5 linked regions of the Callithrix jacchus genome follow. The protein of the gene in region 4 interacts with the protein of the main gene of each other region in a pairwise test. Links are inferred from orthologs where the notes say so. Each region holds a gene or a part of one and is shown on either strand. Other genes may lie near its edges.

What was found.
Region 1: the proteins of NT5C2 (region 4) and NUDT18 interact in binary tests that used the Homo sapiens proteins (3 or more experiments, as listed by UniProt). The two-hybrid records come from large-scale screens. The link is inferred for Callithrix jacchus from reciprocal best matches to the Homo sapiens genes NT5C2 and NUDT18.
Region 2: the proteins of NT5C2 (region 4) and NME7 interact in binary tests that used the Homo sapiens proteins (3 or more experiments, as listed by UniProt). The two-hybrid records come from large-scale screens. The link is inferred for Callithrix jacchus from reciprocal best matches to the Homo sapiens genes NT5C2 and NME7.
Region 3: the proteins of NT5C2 (region 4) and MOB3B interact in binary tests that used the Homo sapiens proteins (3 or more experiments, as listed by UniProt). The two-hybrid records come from large-scale screens. The link is inferred for Callithrix jacchus from reciprocal best matches to the Homo sapiens genes NT5C2 and MOB3B.
Region 5: the proteins of NT5C2 (region 4) and FXR2 interact in binary tests that used the Homo sapiens proteins (3 or more experiments, as listed by UniProt). The two-hybrid records come from large-scale screens. The link is inferred for Callithrix jacchus from reciprocal best matches to the Homo sapiens genes NT5C2 and FXR2.

Annotation. Positions count from the first base shown.
Region 1 is NC_133514.1:19,378,322-19,382,758, forward strand, and holds NUDT18 (8-oxo-dGDP phosphatase NUDT18), read left to right. Parts: upstream 1-1,545; 5' UTR 1,546-1,651; coding exon 1,652-1,813; intron 1,814-2,577; coding exon 2,578-2,791; intron 2,792-3,019; coding exon 3,020-3,615; 3' UTR 3,616-4,040; downstream 4,041-4,437. UniProt on the Homo sapiens protein: Mediates the hydrolysis of oxidized nucleoside diphosphate derivatives. Hydrolyzes 8-oxo-7,8-dihydroguanine (8-oxo-Gua)-containing deoxyribo- and ribonucleoside diphosphates to the monophosphates. Hydrolyzes 8-oxo-dGDP and 8-oxo-GDP with the same efficiencies.
Region 2 is NC_133519.1:33,168,487-33,172,250, forward strand, and holds part of NME7 (nucleoside diphosphate kinase homolog 7), read left to right. Parts: intron 1-2,619; coding exon 2,620-2,827; intron 2,828-3,764. UniProt on the Homo sapiens protein: Possesses an intrinsic kinase activity. Displays 3'-5' exonuclease activity with a preference for single-stranded DNA. Does not seem to have nucleoside diphosphate kinase activity.
Region 3 is NC_133502.1:134,713,135-134,717,353, reverse strand, and holds the start of MOB3B (MOB kinase activator 3B), read left to right. Parts: upstream 1-1,215; 5' UTR 1,216-1,476; intron 1,477-4,219. UniProt on the Homo sapiens protein: Modulates LATS1 expression in the Hippo signaling pathway which plays a pivotal role in organ size control and tumor suppression by restricting proliferation and promoting apoptosis.
Region 4 is NC_133513.1:96,265,219-96,269,693, reverse strand, and holds the start of NT5C2 (cytosolic purine 5'-nucleotidase), read left to right. Parts: upstream 1-1,434; 5' UTR 1,435-1,491; exon of another isoform or gene 1,492-1,507; intron 1,508-4,475. Other genes in the region: INA (alpha-internexin), read right to left, coding at 367-1,434. UniProt on the Homo sapiens protein: Broad specificity cytosolic 5'-nucleotidase that catalyzes the dephosphorylation of 6-hydroxypurine nucleoside 5'-monophosphates.
Region 5 is NC_133506.1:74,085,286-74,087,819, reverse strand, and holds the end of FXR2 (RNA-binding protein FXR2), read left to right. Parts: coding exon 1-104; intron 105-198; coding exon 199-294; intron 295-482; coding exon 483-583; intron 584-1,219; coding exon 1,220-1,315; 3' UTR 1,316-1,913; downstream 1,914-2,534. UniProt on the Homo sapiens protein: mRNA-binding protein that acts as a regulator of mRNAs translation and/or stability, and which is required for adult hippocampal neurogenesis. Specifically binds to AU-rich elements (AREs) in the 3'-UTR of target mRNAs.

The sequences.
Region 1 (4,437 bases), on a different chromosome or scaffold from region 4:
CGGGAGGATCACTGAGGCCAGGAGTTCGAGACCAGCCTGGGTAATATAGCAAGACCCCTCTATCTCTACAAAGAATTAAAAATTAAAAAACTTCGCCAGACCTGGTGTCGCACACCTGCAGTCCCAGATACTCAGCAGTCTGAGGCAGAAAGATAGCTTGAACCCAAGAGCTCAAGACTGCAGCTCCAATCTGGGTAACAGAATGAAACCCTGTCTCTAGGGGGTAACAAAAGGCACATATTATGAGGACGGGCCTTGTGTGTGGTAGCAAGAAGAGCTAGGCCCGAGAGGGACCACCCCTGAGGGTTGGTGGGCTGCCCAGGGGTGGTGCCCAGCACTGGACAATCCACACAGCTCCTCTCTGATTGTCATGCCTTCCCAACACACCTGTAAAACAAGAGTTGTTATGACCCTACTCTACAAATCAGGAAACTGAGGCCCACAGCTCACCCAGGGGCACAGAGCAAGACAGCCAGCAGCGACCAGCCATCTGGCTCCAGGTCTCGAGCTTTGTCCACACCACCAAGCCTGTCTTCCTAGCAGGGAGGTGCAAAAAACCAGCCAAGGAAGAGGAAAGGGGTGGCCTCTGTGGGGTGAGGAGCCAGACGGCCTGCTTCGAAGATCCCTTCCAGCTGGCCTTGACTTCCACTGCTGAAATGCGAGTGAAGGAGGAAAGGTCGGGATGGGAGAGGAGCCGGCGCTCGCCACAACAACCCCCACCCTGCTCTCCATGCGCCAGGTCCTGCACGCTGGGTGGGAGGGTGACGACAAGGATGGAGGAGCAGGGCCCCAGCCCCGCCCTCCCAGGACGCACCGTCTGCAGCGGCGAGGGCCTTGAGCTGCGTGGGAAATGAGGTGGGCAGAGGGCCACTGATGAGGGTGGGCCGGCTGACTGCAGCCCTCTCTCAGCCCCCGACACCTCCCGCCACCCCCGGCCCTGCCCACTCCCTCTTCCAGCGCCGGTCACTCTTCTTGCCCAAGCCAAGCCTTTAGCACTTAGCCTCGAACCGTCAGCTGATTCCTCATCTAGGACTACGCCCATCTCTCCAGCTACAACAGAATATCCTGAAAGGCAGGGGTTTACGTCCCCCACCCCAGGGGCCACATGACATAACTCTTTAGTAGAGTGAGAACAAAGTTATTTGGGATGTGATCAACTCCGGCAATGCCGTAGTGTGTTTACGGCAACAGCGGGACGGTAGGTCCAAGGGGCGGCCCCGGATCTCCGTGACGTCACCTGGCTTGTACGTCACTGTCGCTTGCGCCGGCGGCGAAAAGCACCCTGCATGAGAGATAACTTGACCATCGGAGCCCCTGCGGACCAGTGCGCGCTCAGGCAGTCGGTGAAGGGGGCAGCTGGGAGACGTCCCGAGCGTGCGGGACCGACAGGCGGCAGAAGCCCGGTGGGAGTCCGTGGGGTTCCGGCCGGGAACCCACCCTGCTCCCAAGCGGCCCCGCCCCCTCGGTGACTGTCGCGGGCCGGCCAATCCGGGCAGGCCGCGGCGCCGCGCAGCCTATCAGCGACCAGGGCTTGCGTGCGCTTCCGCGTTCGCGTGCGCGCCCAGGCCCGCCGCCGCCGGATCCCGCACTTGTCCGCGGCTCGGTCCGGCGGGTCAGCCAGGACCCGGGCCGTCGCTTCCCGGGGGACCCGATGGCTTCCGAGGGTATGGCGGGAGTGCTGGCGGCCGTGCTGGCCGGCCAGGGGCTGCGCGTGCAGAGCTGCGACTCGGCGCCGGCCGGGGAGCCACCGGCACCGGTGCGGCTGCGGAAGAACGTGTGCTACGTGGTGCTGGCGGTGTTCCTCAGCGAGCAGGTGAGCGGCCGCCAGCCGGGCCCGCAGGGCCTCGGGAGCGCGCAGCCAGCCCAGGTGGGAACGGAAGACCCAACGGCCACAGCCAGCGCTGCCGCGTGCATGGCGCTGCCCAGTTTTGCAAAGCACTCCCATTCCCACTCGCATCTGTGTCCTGCAGTCGTCCCAATATGGAGAAGAGGAAACTCAGGCCGGGGGCCTGTTCGTCTCACCCCACTAGGCCTCATTCTTTCCCTTCCCAGAGTCTAGCGGAGTGCCCAGGACCCCTCAGATAGCAGTCGCTCAACCCTGGCTTACCTCAGGCCTTTGGTGTGGATCCCCGTACTGGGCAACTAGAAGGGGCCAGGGCCATAGGGCAGGGTTGTACAAGGTGGAGGTCGGGGGTCGTGTTTCAAAGCCAGACCCCAGGGTGAGGATCCATCACAAACAGTTCATAGGCCACGCCGCTGGAGACAAGAGATACCCAATGACATGTACAGACGTAAGTCAATGCAAGACTGACACATGGTGGCCCTCACTCTGGGGCCTCATCTCCAGCCCCTGAAGCAGCTTCCAGGAATCTCAGCCCTTTCTGAAGTGCAAGTTTTCTTAACTCCAGAGAGGGACTAATTGCAGGGAGAAGGTTGCAGCCCCCAGCAACTTGAGGGCAGATCTCCCGCAGCGCTAGCTGGTTTAAGGGCGATCTTGGGCGACTGTGTTTGAGATGCCCCCTGGTCCCTGGGCTGGGGAAGGCTATGGCAGGAAGTGAAGATGCTCTCTCCCCTCAGGATGAGGTGCTACTGGTCCAGGAGGCCAAGAGAGAGTGTCGGGGGTCGTGGTACCTGCCCGCGGGGAGAATGGAGCCTGGGGAGTCCATCGTGGAGGCGCTGCAGCGGGAGGTGAAGGAGGAGGCGGGGCTGCACTGTGAGCCTGAGACACTGCTGTCCGTGGAGGAGCGGGGCCCCTCCTGGGTCCGCTTCGTGTTCCTCGCTCGCCCCACAGGTATGGCCTACCTGGAGGCAGTATGAACAGGGCCAGTTGACATCTTTTCCCCAGCTGCTTGGTGAGGTGAGCCCCTCCACAGCCAGTCCTGTTATGGCACTCTGGCATGGGCAGATTCCAGCCTGCAGGCTGGGGGCCTCTCTCCTGGGTCAGGGATGTCTGTTGAAGCTGCCAACACTGCACTTCTCTCCACACAGACCCTCTGCCCCATCCCCCACATCTCCCCAGGTGGAATTCTCAAGACTTCCAAGGAGGCTGATGCAGAGTCCCTGCAGGCTGCCTGGTACCCACGGACCTCCCTGCCCACTCCACTGCGAGCCCATGACATCCTGCACCTGGTTGAGCTCGCTGCCCAGTATCGCCAGCAAGCCAGGCACCCTCTCATTCTGCCCCAAGAGCTGCCCTGTGATCTGGTCTGCCAGCGGCTTGTGGCCACCTTTACCAGTGCGCAGACAGTGTGGGTGTTGGTTGGCACAGTGGGGATGCCTCACTTGCCTGTCACTGCCTGTGGCCTCGCCCCTTCGGAGCAGAGGGGTGGCATGAAGATGGCTGTCCTGCGGCTGCTGCAGGAGTGTCTGACCCTGCACCACTTGGTGGTGGAGATCAAGGGGCTGCTTGGGCTGCAGCACCTGGGCCGAGATCACACTGATGGCATCTGTCTGAATGTGCTGGTGACTGTGGCTTTTCGGAGCCCAGGGATCCAGGATGAACCCCCGAAGGTTCGGGGTGAGAACTTCATTTGGTGGAAGGTGACGGAGGAAGGCCTGCAAAGCCAGCTCCTTCAGCGGCTTCAGGGATCCTCTGTTGTCCCAGTGAACAGATAGGGCGGGGGAGGAGGTGACGAGGAGCTGGGCGGCTGTGCTCCCTCCAGTGTGGCCTTGTCTCCCTCTGAGGGAGGCAGGAGGCTGGCGACCAGGGATCTTGTTGCATTGGGAGCAGGGGTGCTTTCCTGGTCCCCAGAAGAGATGCTTTGAGGAGCTTTCCTCTAGATCGCACAGGGACAGTGCCTTTAACCAAGCAAGGAATCCAAAGCTCAGGACCTGGCCACTCTTCGGGCACACTGGCACTTCTCCCCGGGGGTTGGGAGCTTTCTGCACTCCCAGTGGTGTCTTGTCATCACAGTTTGTGTTTTCCTTGGGAAAGGCCTGCATCCTGATCCCTCCAGGCCCTTAGAGCTGGGAGGGGCCCTGGGGAAGGTCTCCTGAGGGAGGAGCCCTTGCTCAGTAAAGAGGTGTTGCTTACCTTGCCTCCCTGCCTAGATGTCTCTGTGGGGACAAAGTGATGTGGACTGCGTCCAAGAGCTGCTCCTCCCCTTGTGCCACCGACAGCCACCTATGTCTTTCCCAGTGCACTGACAATGCGGGCCAGCCTGCTGTCCAGGCTGGGCTGCTGGCCTGGGATGTGACTCTTGAGGGGACCCATCCCTCATGAAACACAGCTTGAGTCCTCCAAGGGTTGGGTAGTGGGTGACCCTGGGGGAGGTTCACGTGGGACAGGAGAGAGCGCTGCCTCAGCTTTCTCCTTGAGCCTCCCTGGTGTGGACCCCTCCCACGGCTCTCCTGCCTCTGCCTTTTCACAACTTCAGCCCACGCCAGACCAAACCTTGTCTTCATTTCCCCTCAGCCTGGCTGAATCACGGTAGGATT
Region 2 (3,764 bases), on a different chromosome or scaffold from region 4:
TTGTTGCCATTACTTTTGAGGACTTAGTCGTAAATTCTTTTTCAAGGCCAGTGTCCAGAATGGTGTTTCCTAGGTTTTCTTCTAAGATTCTTATAGTTTGAGGTCTTACTTATAAGTCTTTAATCCATCTTGAAGTTTTGTATATGGTTAAAGTTAGGGAACCAGTTTCATTCTTCTGCTTATGGCTAGACAGCTATCCCAGTACCATTTATTTAATAGAGAATCCTTTCCCCATTGATTATTTTTGTTGACTTTGTCAAAGTTCAGATGGCTGTAGATGTGTGGCTTTATTTCTGGGTTCTCTATTGTGTTCCAGTGATCCATGTGTCTGTTTTTGTACCAGAACCATACTGTTTTGGTTACTGTAGCCTGTTGTACTTTTCAAATATTTTGGTAGTCTTATATACATAAAGCAATGTTCATGTAACCTTTCTATTTTAGCTAAATAGTTTGATATATATTTTGTTCCTTGACCTATAAGAAATATATGTTACACTGAATCTATATATTCTAAATGGTTGAGAAGTAATCAAATTTAAGTGAATATTTTATATACTCGTATTACTGTTACTGATAACAGAGTATTTACATTTCTAATAAGAAAGAATGGTATGTTAGCCAAACCAAATGGCTACAGTAGGCATGTTATTTGGTATCCTGCACTGAGTAGTCGGTTTTAAAAAAAAATTTATATAAGAAAATTATTATGCTTTGGATTATTTCAAATCAAGCATTATAAAATATTCCCAAGCCTTGTTAGAATAGCTATATACAATTTTCTAGAATATTGGTGGAAATTATCTTTTAGTGTAAACTTTGTATATGTTTATAGCATTGAATTACAACTAATTTAATGATTTATATGTGATTTGCACGCAGTAAATTTTCTTAAAGTAGTAACTTAACTAGTTGCCTGTTAATGAGAACGATGTAACAAAAGACCAGGTGAAGTAATTAGAAAGAGTTTCATAAGACAGTGTCTATGATCAGGCACATCATTCCCTGTGTTATTACATGCAGTTTTCATAGGCTTATTCTCTTGTGTGTTTTGAGAATTCTGTATTAATAGGGCATTAAATTATAAGTGTCTTGAAGGAAGGATCTTGTTTTATGGCACAGATGCTGATATGTTGTAGGTAATCAGTAAATGCTTGTTGAATGAATAAACATGGTTTGCTCCCTTGATTTGGGTTTTCTTTAATCTGTTGGTTGGTCTTGGGGGTTTTGTTTGTTTGTTTGGCAGCAAAGGTCTGGCAGAAAATGTATGAGGAGGTATTATAGACCTCTTAGGGTAGAAGACATGAATACTTCTTTGTACATGCTATTTCTTAGAAATATTCTTCAAAATGAATGGGAGCAATTTAAAAAGGAAGTACTGAGGAGAGCTGACTTACATAACATGGTGCTGGGTGGAAGGAAGTATGTAAAAAATAGTCATAAGTTAGTGAGCACAAATGAGCCTGTCACACTGTGTTCCTTTCTCCAGGAGGGTCTCTTCTCTGTACTTTGGGTGAGAGAAAAACATGGGCTTACTCTAAAAAGTACTTTGTCCCTGCTTAACACAGTTAGAAAGACGATGTCACTTATTTCATAGCTAAACTTGTCATTGCACCCAGTACACATATAGAAGTGGAAAATAGAATGAGGTATTGTTTTTTGTTATCTTGGGGGACTGTGACACAGTGCTGGATTTTTAATCAAGAACTTATGTGTATGCTCTAATAATTTAATATAGGAATAACCCAGAGTAGTTTTTTATACTAATAAAAGGATATTTCTTGAAGCCTGTTGGTTTTTTAAAGCCTGTTGTTATTTTTTTGTTTTTGTTTTTTGATACAGACTCTCACTCTTTTGCCCAGGCTGGAGTGCAGTGGCACAATCTCGGCTCACTGCAACCTCCTCCTCCCTGGTTCAAGCAATTATCTTGCCTCAGCCTCTGGAGTATCTGGGACTACAGGCACCCGCCACCACACCTGGCTAATTTTTAAAAATTTTTTTATTTTTAGAAGAGACCAGGTTTCACCATATTGGCCTGGCTGGTGTCTAACTCCTGACCTTGTGATCTGCCCACCCCAGCCTCCCAAAGTGCTGAGATTTTTTAAATCACCAAACCAACTCAGTGTTTATTGATTGAGAGAGTTCTTTGTCAGTCTTTGAATTCTAATAGTTTTACACAAAAAGAAATAAATTCTTACTATAAGTTCCAAGCCATCCATCCCTCTCATCAATTTGCATATTGTGAAATTGTACTTGACAGCAGTGGTAAACACATGAAAATAAAAAGGAAAATCACTGTACCTGTTAGAGCACTGGGAAAAGCATAGGTCAACAATATGCATGTTAAGTCAATGAAATAGTCTTAATTCAACAGAACAGTGATTTTTCTGCTAATAGTAGTTTGACATTACTAGTGATTTGAAGTGAATTGAGCCACTGGAAGACACTCAATTTATGAAAAGTGTTTCCTGCCCATGTGAAATTAACTATGTTCAATGGTTCTGAGAGTATAATATTCTTTTCTATGTTGAAAAAAATCCAATTTAAATATATTCTTTTATTAAGACAGATACCTAGGTTGACAGAAGAAAGAAGCAAACTAATCTTCTATCTGTTTTGTAGTGAGCTGATCCAGTTTATTACAACTGGTCCTATTATTGCCATGGAAATTTTAAGAGATGATGCTATATGTGAATGGAAAAGACTACTGGGACCTGCAAACTCTGGGGTGGCATGCACAGATGCTTCTGGAAGCATTAGAGCCGTCTTTGGAACAGATGGCATAAGAAATGCAGCACATGGCCCTGATTCTTTTGCTTCTGCTGCCAGAGTAAGGTGTTTTAAAAATATTTTAATTGTCTTCTAGTTCTGTTACATATTTTATCAAAGTAAGGCATTTCTGTCACTGGTGACTTAGGCTATAGTGCCAGGACTGCTACAGTAGCCTTCTTTATGCACCTGATCTAGTAGTAGAGAAAACCTTTGACATTTTGCCTAGTATTAAACAGTGTTTATATCTCCTTTGTCAACTGGTGATCATAATCAATGTAACTTTTCTCCAATTAAAACACTTCTCATCCTGTCTCTTGTTCCAAAGACTTAAATTACTGAGACTCCTAAATGTTTGAATTATCAAATTCATGTAAGAATACCAGTTTATGGCTAGTAGATGTTAAAAAGAAGACACATTTTGAGATACTACTTTTTGATTCAGACCTAATACTGTACTTTCAAGCTTGACATCCTATTATTTTCCTATACATGGCTTGTATTTATGAAAGTTTCTTTACAACTGCTCCTTATTTTTAAATCCATATAAATAAAGCATCATATTGGATTTATGCTGAGGTTGAATTAATGAAGTATAAGTTTATTTTTAGCATTGTGAGAAGTGTCTCACTTAAGATAGTTTTTAATTTTTTGCAGTGAAACAATATTAGACAATTTTATAATAGTTGACTTATTTCTTTTTCTTACAATTTCTTCCGCAAGTCTCTTCAGCTCTACTTTCAAAATAAACCCTGAATCTGACCATTGTGATCTAAATCACTATTATATTTTGCCAGGACTGCTACAGTAGCCTCCAAATTCTTTTTTCCTCTTTCCCTTCACTCAATTTATGAAAATTTTACCTTGCCCAAGTAAAATCAACTATGCCTAGTGATATTTTAAAGCCAAATCAGATTAACATTCACCTGCTGAAAACCCTTCAGTGAATTTCCGTCTCTTCTAGAATAAAATCTGAAGTCTTTATTGTAGCTTCCAAG
Region 3 (4,219 bases), on a different chromosome or scaffold from region 4:
ACCATAGGTGGTGACCTTGGAACACTTACCATGTGACAGGTGTTATGCTAAGCATGTTGTATGCATTCCTTCATTGAATGACAGCTACCTATATTATCCTCATTTTATAAGATGAGATAACAGAGATTCAGAAAGGTTAGACTCAGCTACCATGGGCCTGTCTGACTCTAAAGTTCATCTGTTAAAAACTGGGGCACTCTGGAAGTGAGATTCCTTGGTGATGAACAGAAATATTGCTTAGTGGCTGTGTTTTTGTATCTGGCAATTTTCTCATGTTTGAGTCTTATATTCACAATCGATATCTTTATATTACACAATAACATAGAATTAGAGTCATTTAATCCAGGGTTAATATCATTAAGTCATGACTATTTATGAAACATTTCTTACAATATCTGAGATGACTTGATATGGCAAGAAATGTGTGTGATTTTAGGTCTCATTTCGTAGTTGGCTGCAGAAACCTCTTTTAGAGGAGGGATGCTTTCTCTTTGTATCCTAATTTCTCCTTAGTATAGTTCCATACCTCTTTGAAGGGTGTGTAAGAATGCTGGAATGCAGTACCTTGTCATTCGATATGCATTAAGATGTGATCATATGGGGAATAGAAAAATGTGAACGATCCCATTCCTTTTCTACAGAAGGCAGGAAGCTCGTATTTGATAACTCTTACTATAAACTAAAAAACGTTTTGTATGTAGTATACCCGTAGCCATCACCCTGCAAGGTAGATACTGCTCCCCGCCAATTTACGGAGAATACTGAGGCTTTAAGGTTGTAGATAGACCAAGACCACACAAATAGAGAGTGGCAGGCTGTGGGTTGGGCTTTAAAATCCATGTTCGTCCGTGACTCTCTGTGTGTTCTAGTAAATCTGCTAGAATTTGAGTATTTGCCAATGATTAATGCTCTGCTCTATGCCAGGTAGTTCATGATATTTTTCAAGAATCAGAAAATCCTGACGAAGGCACACCGTTTCCCCTTCTGTAGGTGCCTTGGAAGTGACCGTTGTGGACGCAGAGCGCATCCTTTCTGATCCGACACCTTCTTCCCTGCCCTGGCAGGAGGGTCAGTGTCTTTTCCGCAGGGCTGGGAGCCCCCTTAGACCGGTCATTTCCCATCCCTTACGATGATCCCAAAGACAACTTTTCTCCCCACGGAGCTGCCATTCCACAGGCGGCCGCCAGAGGTCCCCGTTCGGAGACCCCGCGAGACAGTCGAGCCCCGGCCGGCTGCGCGGCGCGCTGGGTGCCTGTGGGGGCTGCTCCGGAGCGGCGGCGGCTGCAGCTGGAGCCAGGCGCTCGCCCGTCCGCCGGTTGGCTCGCTGGGACCGCGCGCACCGGCCGCAGAGTCCCTCGCGTGGACTGGCAAGCGACGCCCCTCCTGCCTCGAGCTCACCCTTTTCCTCTCGCGCTGGCTGCCGCTGACCCGGCGAAGGGAGCCTACCGGGCCCTGGGCTGGCGGTAAAACGCCACGGTGAGTAAGAACCCTCTCCGAGCGAGGGGAGGCGGCGCAGCCCGGTGGCTACTCGCTCGGGATCTCCGCCGGGCGGGCAGCGAGGTGCGGGGCGCACCTGGGCGCGGGTGCGGGAGGGTGCGGGAGGGTGCGGGAGGCGGCGGACCTGTCCCCTGCCGGCCGGCCGCGGGCTTCCGGGACTGGAGTCCGCTTCGGACCCCTGCCTGCGTCGGGGCTTCGGGCCGGCTTCTCGTGCGCACTTCCCGGCAGGAACCAGGGTCGCCCACTTTCCACCCCGGGATCCGTGGCCGTGATTTGAAAACATATAAATCAATAAGATCGTCCTCCTTTCAGGGTGCGTCTGTCTCCGAGCCCATCCCTAGCCGCGGACGCCTGCCGGGTGCGTGTTGGGCTGTGGGGTGGCGGGAAGACAAACTTTACACAAGTGCGCCCGGGCTGGGGACCACGCTTGGGCGTCCTGATCCTGAGGGAGGAGTCTCAGCTCGAGGCAGCGTCGGAACTCCGCGAGGTCTGCCGGGTCGCCCCCGGGGCTGTTGATGCCTCATGGAGGTGGGGAGCGTAGAAAGGCCGTACAAATCGCGCTTAACTTTGGGGCCAACAACTGTCAAACATCTGGAATCCCAGCCCCTCCCTTTCCTTGAACTGGGGAAGAAGGCGAAAATCCTTAAACTTTTCTTTGATTGCCCCTTCCCACCTTCAGACCACTGCAGGGAGGGTAAAGCGCCGACCCCTGGCGCCTGGCAAGTACCAGAGACCCTAAATCTCTAGGGAGCCCCCTTGCCTTCTTTCCCGACCCTCTCTGCTGACCCTCCCGGCAGGGACCTTGCGGCACTGTCGACTGGGATCGTGGCAAATGGCCTTTTGTTTCTCCGTGTTTCCCCTATTGTTTGCCTTTCCAACATCTGGTGGGGCCTGGGGAGAGAAGGCAGCCCCTCTGGTCCCCCTCGTCGGCCCCCACGCCAGCTCCGGCAGGGGATCCCAGCTGGGAAAGCGGAGGAGCCGGACCCCGCGAGGCCGCCCCACCCGGTCCTTGCGGTTAGAGGGCGGAGGGAAAGTTGTTTCTTCCCCGCCTCCGCGGCTGCCTGTGGCCCGGGGCGCATTTCTCAGATCTCAGCCCAGGCGCGCCGCAAAGGGCGCAAATCCTAGAAGGGTGCTGCTTTCGACACAGTGGTAGCGGGTTCCGCCTCAATCCAGAGTGTCCTGTGGTTGGTTCCAGAGGATTTCAATCTCTAGCTAAAGGCGTTGGGGTTGGGCTGCTCCCAGGGCAGTGGGAGGGGATCAGGGCACCTCTGGTAGGCGGAAAGCCGAGATTCTGGGGTCCATGAGTTTCCAACGGCGGGAGGGCAGGCTAGTCGCCAAAAAGAGAACCTAGATGCAAATAATGAGGAAGCCTCATGACATTGCCGGGAAATAGTGGTGTGGTGGCTCACTCCGGAATGAACGTGGATTTCTGGCTTTGAGTACCACTCGAAGTTTAAATCCCAAGTCCCCTTCCTGCATTGTAGAAAAAGAGGACTGAGGACACAACGCAGGTACGGCCAGAGCACTGTTCCCGCTTCCACGTCCCAGTGAACAAGTGGCTTAGGATGGCCCCGAGTTCCCCTGAGCGTGCGCCTGTTGGGTTGCAGGCTGCCCTGTTTCCCTGCGCAAGTTAGATGCTTACACTTTGTGTTCATTCTTAGTGAGTGGATTATTGATTAAAGAACTAGGGCAAAAGCAGTGTAACCATTCGAGAAGGCAGGGTCGCCAGATGGTGCCCAGCGACTTGTGTTGCCTCTGAGGGGAGGCCGACTGAGACTGTGCACCTGTTGGAACCTATACCTCCCCATAGCCTTGCAGTTGACCTGCTGTTGCCGGCTTTTCCCGTGGGATCCCCAGCCAGCCCCTCTTCCAAGGAAGCTCAATTACACTTTCGATTCCTCTTCAACCCAGGGGAAGAGGCTTATGTGGAACACTTATGATCTATGTACCCACTCAGACGTTGTCAGTGGATACCAGGTGCTTGGTCTGCAGTTCTGAGAGTTTTCCCTTTGCCAACTTAACAGAACTTTTGCGTTTCCATTTAACAAAAAAGAAGCGAGACAGCTAAGCCGGGAATGTGACACACAGAGCACTTTCTCGAGTGATTTCTGGGTACTATGTCTCTTTACCTTACCAACGGTGGAACCAGCAACAGAAAACAACATTTTTGAAGTACTGAAAGGTACTTTACAAGAATTTCATTATGAAAATTATCCCCAAGGAGTCCTTTGAAATTTAGCAACAGCAGCAACCCAGAAGCAACAAAAATGACCAAAGTTACTCAAGAAGTACCCAAAGGCATCACTGGTCTAGCCCAGTAAGAAAAACAGGGCACTACTGTCTACCCCACTGGTCTATCCCACTAAGAAAAATAGTGGAAGCTAAGTTTGTACAGTTTCTGTTAGAATTAAAAACTTCCCCCAAAAAAAACCATTCTGGGAAAAATAAAAAATATTGATAGGTGAAAATGAATATAAAAGGGGGAGATATTATAAACAAGGTTCCAGTGAACAATCTTATCTACTTGGAATCAATTTCTGAAGACATGATACCTAGCTCACAGGGGTTGATGCCTTCTCTAGGATATTTGAGATTGCCGTATTTCCCTGAAAAGTCCCAGTTTACTTTCTCCCCAGTTATGCACAAAGGCTCCTGTGTCCTATACCTTACCCCCCACTCACATTTTATATTATAATGCTTTTTCATTTCTGCCATACTGATG
Region 4 (4,475 bases):
CGAGACAGCACCGCCCATGTAACCCGCCCCTTTAAGGTCAGTCCTACTTTGGGTGGGACAGTGTTCTCCGGACCACCGGTGTGTGTATACCCGCTTGCTGACAGACATGCATAGTTAGGTTTTCGAACCTCAAAGAAGTTTAAGGGCTTCTTTGTTTGAAGGGCTGGGGCAGGAACATAAATGAGGGGCGTTCCCTAAAGTTAGTAAAGACTCCAGGGCTTTTTGTTTACCAGCGCCTCCGGCCGGGGCTCTTCTCTTCTCTCTTTTGCCCTCCCCTTAAGTCCTAGGGCCCAGTTTTACCAGAGGAAGCGGGAACGCGCGGGAGAGGTGAGGGCAACCCTTCCCACACCCAGCCCCAGCCCTTACCTGGTAGCCAGCCACCTCGGCATTGTGCCGCTCCTCCAGTTCCAGGATCTGCCTCTCCAAGGACTCATTGGCCCCGCGCAGGCCCTCGATCTCGATGGTGCGCGCCTGCAGCTGGCGCCGGTACTCGTGGATCTCCTCGCGGCTGGCTCGGATGGCCTCGGTGCTGCGCGCCGCCTGCTCGTTCAGGTTGGCGAACTTGGACTTGTACCATTCCTCCGCGGACTGCAGGTTCTTAGCAGCCAGGGACTCATATTGGGCGCGGATCTCCCTCAGCGCCGAGCTCAGGTCTGGTTTAGCCACAGCCACGTCCACCTCGGCCGCGGCCTGTGACGACGCCTGCAGCGTGGCCAGCAGCTCGGCTACCTCCTCGTCGTGCACCTGGCGCACGAAGGCCAGCTCGTCTAGCAGCGACTCCACCTTCTTCTCCAGGTCCAGGCGGGCCAGCGTGGCGCCGTCCACGTCGCGCTGCTGCGCCTTCAGGGCGCGCTCGGCACCTTCGCGACCGCGGCTCTCCTCCTCGCAGCGCGCCCGCAGCCGCTGCACCTCCTCGGCCAGCCCGTCGCGCTCCAGCAGGGCCTGCGCGCGCGCCGAGCTCGCCTCCTCCAGCTGCGCGCGCAGGTCGCGCAGCTCGCGCTGGAAGAGCTCGCCGACGCGCGACGGCTCGGCGTGGCGCTGCCGCAGCGCAGCCAGCTCGGCCTCCAGCGCGCGGTTCTGCGTCTCCAGCTGATGAACCTTCTCGATGAACACTGCGAAGCGGTCGTTGAGTCCCTGCAGCTGCTCCTTCTCGTTGGTGCGGATGATCTTGTACTCGTTGGTGCGTGCCGCCGCCTGGCTCAGGTCCAGCCCGTCGGATGCCGGCGGCCGGCGATAGGCCAGGCCGAGGCCGAGCGACGAAGCCGAGGAGCAGGCGGTCGAGGAGGCCACATTGCTGCGGGACAGGGACTGCGAGCGGAAGCCGCCAGCGCCGCCGGCCCCGGCGAGGCGCGCGGACAGGCGGGAGCCGTCCCCGAACACCTTGCGGTAGGAGGAGGAGGAGGAGCACAGGTAGTGCTCCGAGCCGAAGCTCATGGTGCCGGGATCCGGGCCGGGCGTGGGCTTCGGCTGGAGATACAGAAGAAAGGAGAGGTGCGGCAGGCAGGGCGCGGCGGGGCGGTGCGCGCTGGCTTTTAAGGCGCTGGGACTGGGGCGGCGCGTTGGGGGCGGAGCTCCTGCTCTGAGCCTGGCCCCGAGAGGGAAGGGGGGCATCCAGGAGCGGGGGTGGGGAGGCGCAGCAACTACTGCAGCTGCGCGCTCGATGACCTGGGGCGCGGGGTCAGGGCCATCTGTGTCGGAGTCGCTCCTGTCCGCGGCGCCTCTCCCCAAGAATCCACTGCTTCTGAAGTGACTCCAGCGGAGGGGTGCCCTAAACGACTGAGGTTTCCCATCCGGAAACTACACAGCTCTGTCGCATCCCGTGACCCTATCTCCTCTTTCTTCTTTAACCCACTGGGAGGTTAGGGGTTTCTGAGAGGTGTCCCCTACACCCACCCTCTTATTGGGTTTTGAGGGCGAGGCCGTGTTTTCCCAGTTGCAGTGGGAACCCGCTGGGCGAGGCCTTGCTCCTCCCTCAGGTGGCTCAGGGTCCCCAAGGAGAAAAGTCAGAGAGCCTCTCTCCAGGTGGCCCTCTGCATCTCCTGGGAGGTTCTGGGCAGGTAGATGCTTGGAAAGCGCCTCTCCCCCAGAAGAGAGGGGAGATCGGTAAAGAAAGTGACCCCGAGCTGCGGAGAGTGGGGAGAAGCCCAGGTAGAGAGAGGAAAAGAGGCCACACTTGGAGAAGCAGGAGGCGCTGGGAATTGCTGGGGCTCATCGATAGGGCACTAAAGCATGGCGCAGGCCAGGACCACAAGCTGGTGGAAAGGGGGCTGCAGACTTTTGTGTTTAGAGCATTATGTTTTAAAACATTTCAAAAGGAGCGTTTTCAAACCAGGAGGTTTCACCTAAAAAGAAATTGAATTTCTGGCTTCTGAAAACGGGAAGAGGTGGGATCCCATAGTGGGCAGAGGTGAGTTGCCCTTGCCCTTTGTATAAGAAGTGTGCTTTCCTGTTTACTACAGTGAATTCTCCACTGAATTACCATTCTCCACTGAATTACCCCCACCTTCTTAATTCGTTTACTTTACCTCTCTGATTATGTGGGCATTTGAGATTTCAGTCTGTGTAAATCCAGCAGGGCAGGTCCTCATCTGGCTTTGGAGAGCCACTTACTCTGGAGATCTCTTTTTGGAGAAAAGAGATCCCTGAAAAAAGTTAAACTTCCAGAGTTGGGGAGAGTGCTGGTGACTGAGCTGGCCTGTTCTACCACATAGTAGGGTTGGTGGGAACGGGGGTGGAAATCAAAGAATGGGATCTGAAAGGATGAAGGCTGGGAGGGGTCAGTGTGAGGTCTGTAGTATGTACCGACTTTTAAGCTTCTGTTGTCACTCAGGATGTGGATATCGCTTTGGAGAGGGAGTAGGAAGACCTTTTTAGCTATATTCCAGAATTCCAGACTGAGGGCCTTTTTTTGATCTTGGAATCTTCAAGGACGTAGTCCTAGGATAAGTTTTACTTCATGGGGAAAGGGAAATATGCTTGGGACAGGCCATCAAAGGAAGGGTGAAAAGGGATCTTATGAGACTTTGGAGCATATCTCTTGGCTTTGTGCTTAATGTCATGGAAAATGGTCAGGCCCTGTCACAGCCTGTCCCTCTGGTTCCTCATCACAGACCAAAGCCTTGAGGTAGAGGAACTCAATTCTGAGGTCTTTGTGCTCAGAAAGACCTTGTGAGGTGAACAATTAAAGATTACTAATACTGCTGAATAGTGATTGTCTGCCAGTACTTGTGCTGGCACTTTTGCATAGGTTTACCTCCTCTGAATGTGCTTCAGGGTGGCACTTACCCCCATCTTATTAGATAAGACACTGAGGTGCTGATGCAGCACAAGGTCACCAGCAAGCAAAGACAAGCATACATTCTCTCTTTACTACATAATTCTGCAGTGAGACTTTTTTTTTTTTTTTGAGACAGAGCTGGGCACAGTGTCTCATGCCTGTAATCCCAACATTTGGGGAGGCCGAGATAGGCAGATTACTTGAGGTCAGGAGTTCGAGACCAGCCTGACCAACATGGTGAAACCCCATCTCTATTAAAAATACAAAAATTAGCCCGGAGTGGTGGCGCACACCTGTAATCCCAGCTCCTCGGGAGGCTGACGCAGGAGAATTGCTCAAACCTCGGAGGTAGAGGTTGTAGTGCGCCAAAATTGTTCCACTCTACTCCAGCCTGGGCAACAGAGTGAGACCCCATCTAAAAACAAACTAACAAACACACAACAACAACAACGGAGTTTTGCTCTTCTTGCCTAGGCTGGAGGGCAGTGGCATGATCTCAGCTCACCACAACCTCTGCCTCCTGGGTTCAAGCTATTCTTCTGCCTCAGCCTTCTGCATAGCTGGGATTACAGGTGCCCGCCACCATGCCTGGCTAATTTTTTGTATTTTTATTAGAGATGGGTTTTGTCATGTTGGCCAGGGTGGTCTCGAACTCCTGACCTCAGGTGATCCACCTGCCTTGGCTTCCCAAAGTGCAGGGATTACAGACATCAGCCACTGCACCCGGCCTGCAGTGAGACTCTTGAAGTCACGTTAATTTCTATGTAGCACGGCCAGGCGTGATGGCTCATGCCTGTAATCCCAACACTTTGGGAGTCTGAGGTGGAGAGATCACCTGAAGTCAGGAGTTTGAGACCAGCACGATCAATTTGGAGAAACCCCATCTCTACTAAATATATAAAATTAGCCAGGTGTGGTGGCGCATGCCTGTAATCCCAGCTACTCTGGAGGCTGAGACAGGAGAATCACTTGAACCCAGAAGGTGGAGGTTGTAGTGAGCTGAGATTGTGCCATGGCACTCTAGCCTGGGCAACAAGAGCAAGACTCCCATCTCAAAAAAAAAAAATTTTTTTTCCCATGGAGCCAGAATAGGACTAAGTGGGCTTCAGTAGAGTTTTGGCCAGCAAAAAATCATGTGCTGATTTGTGATTGATTTTTAATTGAAAGAATACTGGACTGAGAGTCAGAAGCAATGGGT
Region 5 (2,534 bases), on a different chromosome or scaffold from region 4:
TGCCAGGCGCCGTCGCTCCCGCCGCCGCCGCACTGATGAAGACAGGACCATCATAGATGGAGGCCTGGAATCAGATGGGCCCAACATGACAGAGAATGGCCTGGGTGAGGGTGTGCCTGGGATCTGGAAAATTAGAGATGGGTAAGAATTGAGGGTGGGAGGTTGGATGTGTGACTCTGGTTTTTCCCTACCCTACAGAAGACGAATCAAGACCCCAACGTCGTAATCGCAGCCGCCGCCGCCGTAACCGTGGTAATCGGACTGATGGTTCTATCAGTGGAGACCGCCAACCAGGTCAGCCAACTTTGGACACCAGAATTCTTCCTCAGAGCTGAGAGAATGGGATACTTCCTACCCTGTGAAAATCAGGGGTTCGGGTTCAGTGGGTATCTTGGGCTGGCTACCAGAATTCCATCTTTTTTTTTTCTTTTGTAATTTTCATGGCAAACTATCTCAAAGTCTTAATGTCCTGCCTTCCCTAGTGACTGTGGCTGACTATATCTCACGAGCAGAGTCTCAGAGCCGCCAGCGGCCACCCCTGGAACGCACTAAACCCTCAGAGGACTCTCTTTCAGGACAGAAGGTAGGCAGGCAAGATGTGGTTTACTCTATCATTTTTTTTTATTATTATGGGGCAGGGGGTGCACAAAATTTCACAAAGAAATTTACCGAGGCTGGGGGTGGTGGCTCACGCCTGTAATCACAGCACTTTGGGAGGCTGAGGCGGGTGGATCACCTGAGGGTGTGAGTTCGAGATCAGCCTGACCAACATGGAGAAACCCTGTCTCTACTAAAAAATACTAAATTAGCTGGGTGTGGTGGTGCATGGCTATAATCCCAGCTACTTGGGAGGATGAGGCAGGAAAATGGCTTGAACCAGGGAGGCAGTGGGTGCTGTGAGCTGAGATTGCGCCATTGCACTCCAGCCTGGACAACAAGAGCGAAACTCTGTCTCAAAAGAAAAAAGAAATCTGTTACTGAATTGCAGAGGCAGTTGTGTCTGATGGAGTTTAGAATAGTGTCAACTTCGAATGGGATAGAGAGGATTATGTAGTTCACATTTTCTGGATCCCAAGTAAGAGAGACTGGATCATGGGATCAAGGAACCAACCTCTGGATCACCAGATGCCAGGAGTGCTTGGATGGTAGGAAATGTCCCTCACCTGAGTTTCTGCTCACCGTGTGCTTGATTTTGTTTTCTTTCCCACTTGCTTCTCAGGGTGACTCTGTCAGCAAGCTTCCTAAGGGCCCCTCGGAGAATGGGGAGCTCTCTGCCCCCTTGGAGTTGGGTAGTATGGTGAATGGGGTTTCATAAAACCTCCAGCCTGCATCCCTCCCTTCTCCATCTCGCTTGCTGCCCAACACCATGGCCCTCACAGGCCCAACTGACCTGCGCTGGAGCTGCTCTTATCTAGGGGGGAGGGGGGTGGCACAGCAGCTTGGGTACCCCCCAACCTCCAGGAGCTAGTGGAGGGGTGTGTAACAGGGTCATACCCCCTCCCTCTTGTCCACCCTACCCCCAGGGTAAGGGGAGCCTCTCTCCCCCATCAGACTGGATGTGCCTTTATCCTCTAATGCCCCAATCTCTCTCTGAACACCCCCATTCTCCACCTGTTGGTGGGGGGGTGCTCCTTGACCCACCCAGATTTGACCGTTCAGGGGGCCTCCCCTGCTATCCCTCCTCCCATCCTGTACCCCCCATTTCTGGGGCCTCATCACTGTGGAAGACGGGGATAGTAAGAGATAAGTGGGTGGGAGGCACGGGGAAGGTTTTGGAGTAGAACCAGGGGTGTATATGAAGGGGGGTGACAAGGTCCCCAGGGGGAGGGGACCGACCTTGTCTGGTGGATGAGAAGGCGTATTTATTTTTCACTGTACAGTATTTAAAAAGAGAATAAAAAAATCCAAATGGCTCTGTGGCTCCTGTGCCGCCTTTGTCCCCAGTTTGGTCCATCTGTTTCTTTAGGACTGACCTGCCCTAGCCCCTGGCTCATTTTCTTTTCCTCCATACCTGATTTCTCATTGTCTCTTGTCCCAAAGATGGTCTGTCTTCTGGGAATTTCTGACATTCTTAAACTCCCCAGGTCCAGGTACTCGCTCCTGGTCCAGAGGGGAGGGGGTCTTGTGCCTTATTGCTTCTCTCCTCCCCCAAGTTTGCTGGTAGAGGGAGTTGGGCCACTCCTATACCCTGAGTCATGGCACAGGCTAGGCAGGGCTGCTCAGAGCTGGAGCTGTTCCTGCTAGAAGCTGGGAGCCAAGGCAGGCTGCTTAATCCGATTACCTGAAGCCTGGGGCTTGGGCTGGGCCTTGGCAAGAGGGGAGCAGGGTTCCCTCACAGCAGCCTCTGAAAGCCTGGTGTCCAGCCTTCTTTCCTTGCTGGTGTTCTGATCTGGCTCTAAGCTTTTTCTCCAGCATGCACACCACAGACCTCTCAACTCGGGGGCGTTGTCCTGGGTTTCCTGGCTGCCCCTTCATGACTTGGAGGACCGAAGATAAAACTTGCCATAATTCAATGGCAGTGGAGAGAAATCTAG